Linked DNA regions of Xenopus tropicalis. The protein of the gene in region 2 binds, or shares a complex with, the protein of the main gene of each other region. Links are inferred from orthologs where the notes say so. Each region holds a gene or a part of one and is shown on either strand. Other genes may lie near its edges.

The links. The genes of interacting proteins can lie anywhere in the genome.
Region 1: the proteins of cd40 (region 2) and cd40lg are in contact, whole or in part, in a crystal structure (PDB 3QD6), measured with the Homo sapiens proteins. The link is inferred for Xenopus tropicalis from reciprocal best matches to the Homo sapiens genes CD40 and CD40LG. Residues at the interface, in NP_001241.1 of Homo sapiens: Glu64, Ser65, Glu66, His76, Cys77, Gln79, Tyr82, Asp84, Asn86, Leu87, Trp109, Cys119; in NP_000065.1 of Homo sapiens: Ile127, Glu129, Ala130, Lys143, Gly144, Tyr145, Tyr146, Cys178, Pro217, Cys218, Gln220, Ser245, Gln246, Ser248, His249, Gly250, Thr251, Gly252.

What each region holds. Positions count from the first base shown.
Region 1 is NC_030684.2:69,119,081-69,122,738, reverse strand, and holds part of cd40lg (CD40 ligand), read right to left. Parts: intron 3,193-3,658; coding exon 3,147-3,192; intron 383-3,146; coding exon 329-382; intron 1-328. UniProt on the Homo sapiens protein: Cytokine that acts as a ligand to CD40/TNFRSF5. Costimulates T-cell proliferation and cytokine production.
Region 2 is NC_030686.2:20,127,528-20,131,285, reverse strand, and holds the start of cd40 (tumor necrosis factor receptor superfamily member 5 precursor), read right to left. Parts: upstream 2,271-3,758; coding exon 2,220-2,270; intron 1-2,219.

The DNA.
Region 1 (3,658 bases), on a different chromosome or scaffold from region 2:
TTGTTTTATTAATAACTGTTCTCCATGGAATGTGGTAGCATTTACTGGCTAACTGATTTCACAGATCTAACATCTTTAATATCTTATGCCTGATGAATAACTGTCATGAACTTCAGAAGGCCGCATTCTTTATATCTAACAGTTAGAGAACGCTCTCTTTTCTTTGTTTTTCCAAACTTTGACTTAAACACTGTACAACTTTATTATTACTTGCTGATTCACTCTTACTTTTCTCTCTAGTAACCTTTAATAAAGATGTGAAAAAGGCATGCCCAGCACAAGAGGAATCAGGTCTATTTATTTAAATCATTTACATAACGAATAATACCTTGTTTTGGTAGGTTGTCGTTATCTTTAGGCTTGTCTGTGGAAACATTTGGATCTGTGTAAAACAGAGTTATATTTATTAACATAACTTATCAATACATTTCAGGTCACAACACTTTGTCTACTCATTGAATAGCCACATAAATATAATTACGTTGTTAGTTGTATCAAGTACCTATAACTGAAAATGGAACATATGATTGTTTTGTTCAGTTTTTCAAACTATTGTATTAAAGGAACAGTAACACCAAAAAAATAAAAAGTAACTAAAATATTATGCACTGTTGCACTGCACTGGTACAACTGGTGTGTTTGGTATGGCAGAATAGTGGTAGGCAGCCATTCAGTCCAAAAAAGTAAAAAAAATAATAATCAATGTTCATCTACAGGACTTACATGTAAAGCGTGCTATACTAAGGGGCACATTTACTAATACACGAACGTCCGAAAAGCGTCCGAATGCGTTTTTTTCGTAATGATCGGTATTTTGCGATTTTTTCGTAAATTGTTGCGACTTTTTCGTAGCCATTACGACTTTTTCGCAAATTGTCACAACTTTTTCGTAGCGTTACGACTTGCGCGAATTGTCGCATTTTTTTTGATTAGTAAATCAGCCCCTAAGTCTAGGCTGAGCATTGGAAATAAAAATAAATGACATGATCAACTGTGTGCAATAGCCTGCAAGCCATGATGTGCTGGAGTATCTGCTTGGGGCACATCACAGGAGCTTGCTCACCACAAGCAAATTCAAAGCTTTCATTTCTCAAATTCATCTCTCACTTTGACCTGCCAATTACACAGGTATAATATCTGTCTTAAACACTCCTTTCTGACTCAAATTCTTACAAGGGTGGTACAGCACTCACCCAGTATGCTACCATGAAGCCAAATATGCTATATTTAACTCTCCCACCATAGCCACCGTGCCTGTGGTCACTCAAGATACATTTGCTTTTAGGGAAATGTTTAAACCGCCAGATCCTTATAGTGATAAGCTCTTTGTTATGTTTTATTAATAGCCCCCACATCAAAGTGTTGTGTTTTACTGCTTCCGGCATCCTCCGCAGGGTCCTATTTACTTAAACTGACTAACCTTCCCAACCATACCCTCTGCTCTTCTAATTATTTCACTAGTCTAGAAAGCAATGATAAATTGTTTGTAACTCATTATTCAGATTAAACCAATACGACAATATTTTTATATTACCCATCAGTAGGAGTGGTTTTAGCATGTGTTTTGTCAACTTAGTCAAGTTTTAGTTGCACCCTCATTAAAAAATAAATAAAAATATATGATAAGCACATTGAAAGAATGTTAACAATGGGAACTTTTTTTTTTAGAAAAACAATGTATCTATTGCACTGATAATGTTGGTTAGTAGGGTAAGATGGGCGATTGGCGGGCATAGTGGTGCAGTGGTTAGAGTTAAGGTACTGGGTACAATTACATTGACAAGATTATTGGCAAGGAGTTTGAATGTTTTCCTTCTGTTTGTAAGGGTTTATGGTTTTATATTCACTCTAAAAGTATATGGACAAGTTAATAAGGTCTTGAAAAAATTGCCTGCAATGTGTAGGAAACTTAGATTGCAAGCTTTACTAGGCAAGTACTGATGGGAATGGATAACAGTAGTCATATTCAATGAACAGAAACCCAGTTGGATTCAACTGGTGTTGTCAGTAGCAACTAATCAGTAGAGATGTAGCGAACTGTTCGCCGGCGAACTAATTTGCGCGAACATCGGGTGTTCGCAAGTCCGCAAATTCGCGAACTTTCGGCGATGTTCGCCATTTTGGGTTCGCCGCGTTTTTTTTTTTGGCATTATTTTTTGGCGTTTTTTTTTGCCGTTTTTTTTACAAAGTATTTTTCAGAGAAATTTTTGCTTGATCCCCCTCCTGCATGCCACTGTCCAGGTCGTGGCACCCTTTAAACAACTTTAAAATCAGTTTTCTGGCCAGAAATGGCTTTTCTAGGTTTTAAAGTTCGCCTTCCCATTGAAGTCTATGGGGTTCGCAAAGTTCGCGAATATTCGCGAGTTTTGCCGAAAGTCCGCGAACGGGTCCGCGAACATTTTTGGCGATGTTCGCTACATCCCTACTAATCAGGTCTTTCCTTTCATTCTGTAACTTGTACTGTACAGCTCAAAACAAATTGCTGACTGGCTACTATCTGCAACTTAACATGTGAACTTTAGCTCCCATGTTATAAATCAGTGCATGAACACTCTATATAATCTATATATTTTAGTCAAAAATATATACTTTTTTGTTATCATGTTGCCAACATGATGATACCAATGTTGTGGCAACATTTACACACACATGCGTCATAGTGCATTATACTAAGAACCAATGTTTCAGCCCACTAGAGAGCATTTCTTCAGGGGTTTATTTAATACAGTATATAATGTACCCTGTATTGTAAAATATAAGAATATTATAAGCCACCAAGGAGTTCTGTAACCATATAAAAGCACAAGCCCAACTCTGAGGTGACTTCTAATATTCTCATATTTTACAACAGGGGGTACGTTATTTATTATAATACACAAGTTTCAGTGAGTCTTGTGGCAGAAATGACATCACTTAGCACTCATTATAACGGATATCTTCACCAAGCATTGTTTATAAGAATATCATTTACAGGATATTCATGGCTCTTGTGTATTTTGCATATATGTATATATTTATACATTTGAATTTGTAAAAAGATAATATGCAGTGAGCAACATCACCATATTCTTACATCTCCAATTCATAATAATAATCCAAAAGTCATATAATAGTCATCTGCATTTTATTTGGCAAGCATTTTCTACCTTTAAGATATTCGAGTTTTTCTCCTGGCGTGTCTGTTTTGATGATCTGAAATGAAGAATATGTAGTTGTTAATACCAGTCATAGACTAATGGCACTTTTATAAATACATCTAATGAAACCTTCAGTTTATTGCACAATAATATATTTAGATGGCCATATTAGTAAAGTCTCCTAAAAACAAGGGCTGACATCTGGGCTGGAGAGTTATTCATTCAAATACGGAATTTGGAGCATTCTTACTGAACAACTGCTGTCAGCAACTTTGATGCACCTGGTACTTCAGGTTAATTTAACATTTCTAGCACTGGTCAGTGCAATATAGTTAAACTCAAGGGATACGGAATGGGAGGTAAGGAAGAGTAAAATGAATAACTTGTTTTCTAGGAGAAGAAATATATATATAATCATGCCCAGTATGATGTAAACACGCTGGTGGGGAAAAATACTCAGTGCAAACAATTTGTCCTCTTTGTGAATAATTTTTCATTTGTGATACACTGCAACTCAAGTG
Region 2 (3,758 bases):
CAAATGCTTTAGCAAAGTCCAAGTAGATTACATCAACTGCCATTCCAGCATCGAGGTTCCTACTCACCTCCTCATAAAAGGCGACTAAATTAGTCTGGCAAGATCTGTTACGCATAAAACCATAATGGCACAAACTTATAGTATTGTGAACTGCAATGTATTCAAGTACCCTATCCCTTATTACCCATTCCAAAGGTTTTCCTACTACTGATGTTAGACTAACAGGCCTATAGTTTTCAGGCTGAGAACGGGATCCCTTTTTAAATAACGGCACCACATTAGCAACATTTCTAGCCATTAGGCTTTATTTAACACACAAGTATTAGATATTTTGCAATTGTGTGTTCAAATACAACCCAAAAACAACCATAAGTGCTAAATGTGTTTAAAAAAAATTCTTTTTACAAACAGAGTTTTTATTTACACATATGAAATAAGCTTTCACCACTATAACTGCTGGAAAGCAATAGTTAGGGGGCTTACCTCATTTATAAAGCTGGTACAACTAATGGCTGAATGACAAAAGTAAAAGATGTAGTCCCATACCACATGCAGAGTTCGGGAAACCCATATTGGGGGTTTTTTTTAATAACCAGGTCCAATGCCAGGACCGCAAACTGTAAAAACTCTGTGTTGCTGGTCCTTTAAAGAGAGATAATTAAAGCACTTTAAAGAAATGCTGGAATTTAGGCAGGTTTGTCAGAATTAAACCTGCCTAAATGCTGTGTTTACCATATTGTGTATTGGTCACTCACTTCATTTGTGCCACCAGAGAGTGGGTCCTGAAAATCTGACTCCCCAGTTGCATACATTGAAGAAAAGAACTAAATTGGCACATTTTCTTTTCACAACCCCTTATAATCAAATTATTTCCGTGTTTTATGGAGTCACATACCCAAACCATTCTTTTTACTACTGTTTTTAATATATTTTTAGGATTAAATTTTGCTTGTTTTAAAATAAGTGTCTGTCCCCTCATTTTTTTAACCACTTTCCTCTTCATTACTATTAACTTCATTAGTTCTGAGATAAACCACATATTGTTTAAGGGAATGTGCCCGGCCAATGCTGTATTTTATATATGAAACTTACATTAGTCTTTATTTTTATTAGCTTTTCAATTTTGTTTCTCTCCAGTCTGCTACTGCAAATGCTATCTGGTTGTTGCTAACCCAGGCAACCATAAAACAGACCCTCTAAAAGGCTTATACTTTATTATTATTATTATTATTACTTTAGCTTTCTGTTTGGTTCCTTGCTTACTGATCTTTCATTTCCTGTTGCTGCCTGGTTGCTGTTGTAATTAATCCCTAGCAAACAGCTAGCAATCAAATTTTCAAGCTTAAAAGCTGCAGAACATATAAGGATATAAAATAAAAAGTGTATCTGTTAATTGTCTCAGAATACTGCTGTTTACAGAAGCTTTAAAACTACATTTAGTTTTAATGCCTTTATTTGGCTATAATGTTTAAAAAAATCCCAATAAAAATGATTGAAACTAAAACTACATTTAGGATAAATTAAACCCTTTAGAGCTGTGGCACACAGGGAGATTAGTCGCCCACAACAAATCTCCCTTGTATATGACATCCCACCGGCGAGAATGTAAATCGCCGGTGGGATATCATACGCGGCGCATATGCCGCATATGCCATCCCATCGGCGATTAAGGGAGCTTTATTTCTCTCTGTATGTGTTCAGGATATATAAAACCAGAGGCTTACATACCTTCACTGCATGCTTTAAACTAATGGTATTTTCTGTGAAGCAGCACTTTTCACAGATGATTTCAGTATTTATGCCATATTTGCTAGTGTGCTAGTAGTCTTAGGGAACTGTTTATAGAGAGACTCTCATAGTTCCCCATTCTATCTTTTTGTTCCCCATGGGCGATCTGCAGAATACTTTCCTGTTTCAGCTAACCACCACCATGTACAGTGATCATATTTATCAAATATAAAAACCTACACATTTTTTATCTCTTATGTTCTGGAAAACGTATAGTGGTAGTAGGAACACCATTCCAGACTAATAATGCTTATTTGTACAAAGTGAAAGTAAACAGTAGTAAAACACAGACTGTAGAAAGATGTGACTCTGCTTTTGTGCGCAAGAGAATAACTGACAGAGAGTTCACAAAAACACACACTGTTCTGACTTCTGAGACTAACAATTTTAGTTCATTTTGGTTTGTTTTTAGTATTCCAATCTTCTCTTACCTTGTGGCTGCAGCTCAGAAGCAATAGCAGAAAAAGCAGCAGAAATCTCATTTTCCAGCAGAGACTGCAATACAAAGGCAGCAATTACAAAATGATATCAGCTACGAATCCTTGGGTTTGTTTTAGTCCGTAGAACAATTGTCCCTGGAGTGCTAGCTCAGCAGAACAGATGCCTTCTTTAGGAGTATCAAAGGAAAGCCCTTAGAATATCAAATATAAAAGCAGTTATATGTGCAGTGTCCCAGTCTGTACGGTCAGACCCGCCCTCTGCTGTATTCCAGAAATACAGAACCAGTTTGTGAAAGTGAAACTGGGGAATTACACAGGAGGAACTCTGAGCAGAGAGGGTGGAGGGTTCCTGTCTGGTGAGCCTGTAATTTAACTCTTGATTAGTTATACGGCATGAAGCCTAATGATAACTACGGAGTAATTCATGAAAAAATATATAGTATTTTGAAGCTGCCTGTATCACAAAAGGAAATTATCGCTGAACTTTTATCATTTATTGTTTTACTTTTGTAAGCAGGGATCACTAGGGTTCATTTTCCATTCCTCCCAACATTTGAAAAATTTAAAGAGGGACAAAAAGAAATGCAGGGCGTAGCATGACAAAAAATGTTTGGCCATGCCCATTTTTGTGACCACATCCCCTAAATGCCAATGCTATTTTTACAAAATTTGGCAGGTTATTTAAAGTTTGAACACATTTTTAAAGGTTTTAGGGTCTTGTTTAATGTGTTATTACATTGCCCTTTAATCTGTAAGTCTCAGTTCCCCCAAGAGACCTATTTAGCTTATTAGTTACAATTGTATCTAAGTACAGGTGTTGCTTGTTAATCTTTCTGGGCTCTCTTCCAAAAGCTACTTATTTAAGTTTGAGAAACGTTGTATCTTTTTTAGCATTCAGTGCAGGAGATCAAAGTGAAATGAGGGACTTTTCAGTAAGAATCCGGGACTGTGGGCTGTTAAAATCAGAAATGTCCCGCGAAAATCGGGACAGCTGGGAGCTATGCAATAACTATGTGTAAGGTAGGATGCAAAATGCAAAAAAGAATGCAATCTGACGTATTTTTTGCATTCTGCAACCCGCTCTGCACACTAACTTTATTTCTGCAGGTCTTTGTAATCCAAAAAGGATAACAGAGGCCTGTATCTGCCCCTATATATACAGTTCTGAGTTTGGTAGCACTGTATTTATGAGGGGTGGAACATAGGGTTACTAACAGGCTTGTTGAAACAACTTGCTTATCAATTAAAAAAAAAAAAGGGATAAGTATATTTTCTTAACTTTATTCAAAATCATTGTGTTGTTTAACTGTTGTGTTTATTTCTTTCAAAAGTATTTGCTGTTTTTGGTGCTAAATTACAAAGTTTGGTGAACTATAAGGCTTACAGCAGGTTTGCCAGAAGTTGCATTCCTTTATTACCCTCGGTTTGAGGTAGGTGGGGTTTGATTAGTTCACCTGAACAGACAGTATAAATAGAACCACTGGCACTCCAGTGGAGCTTGCTCTGGTGGTTGGTGCTCTGTAAGTGATT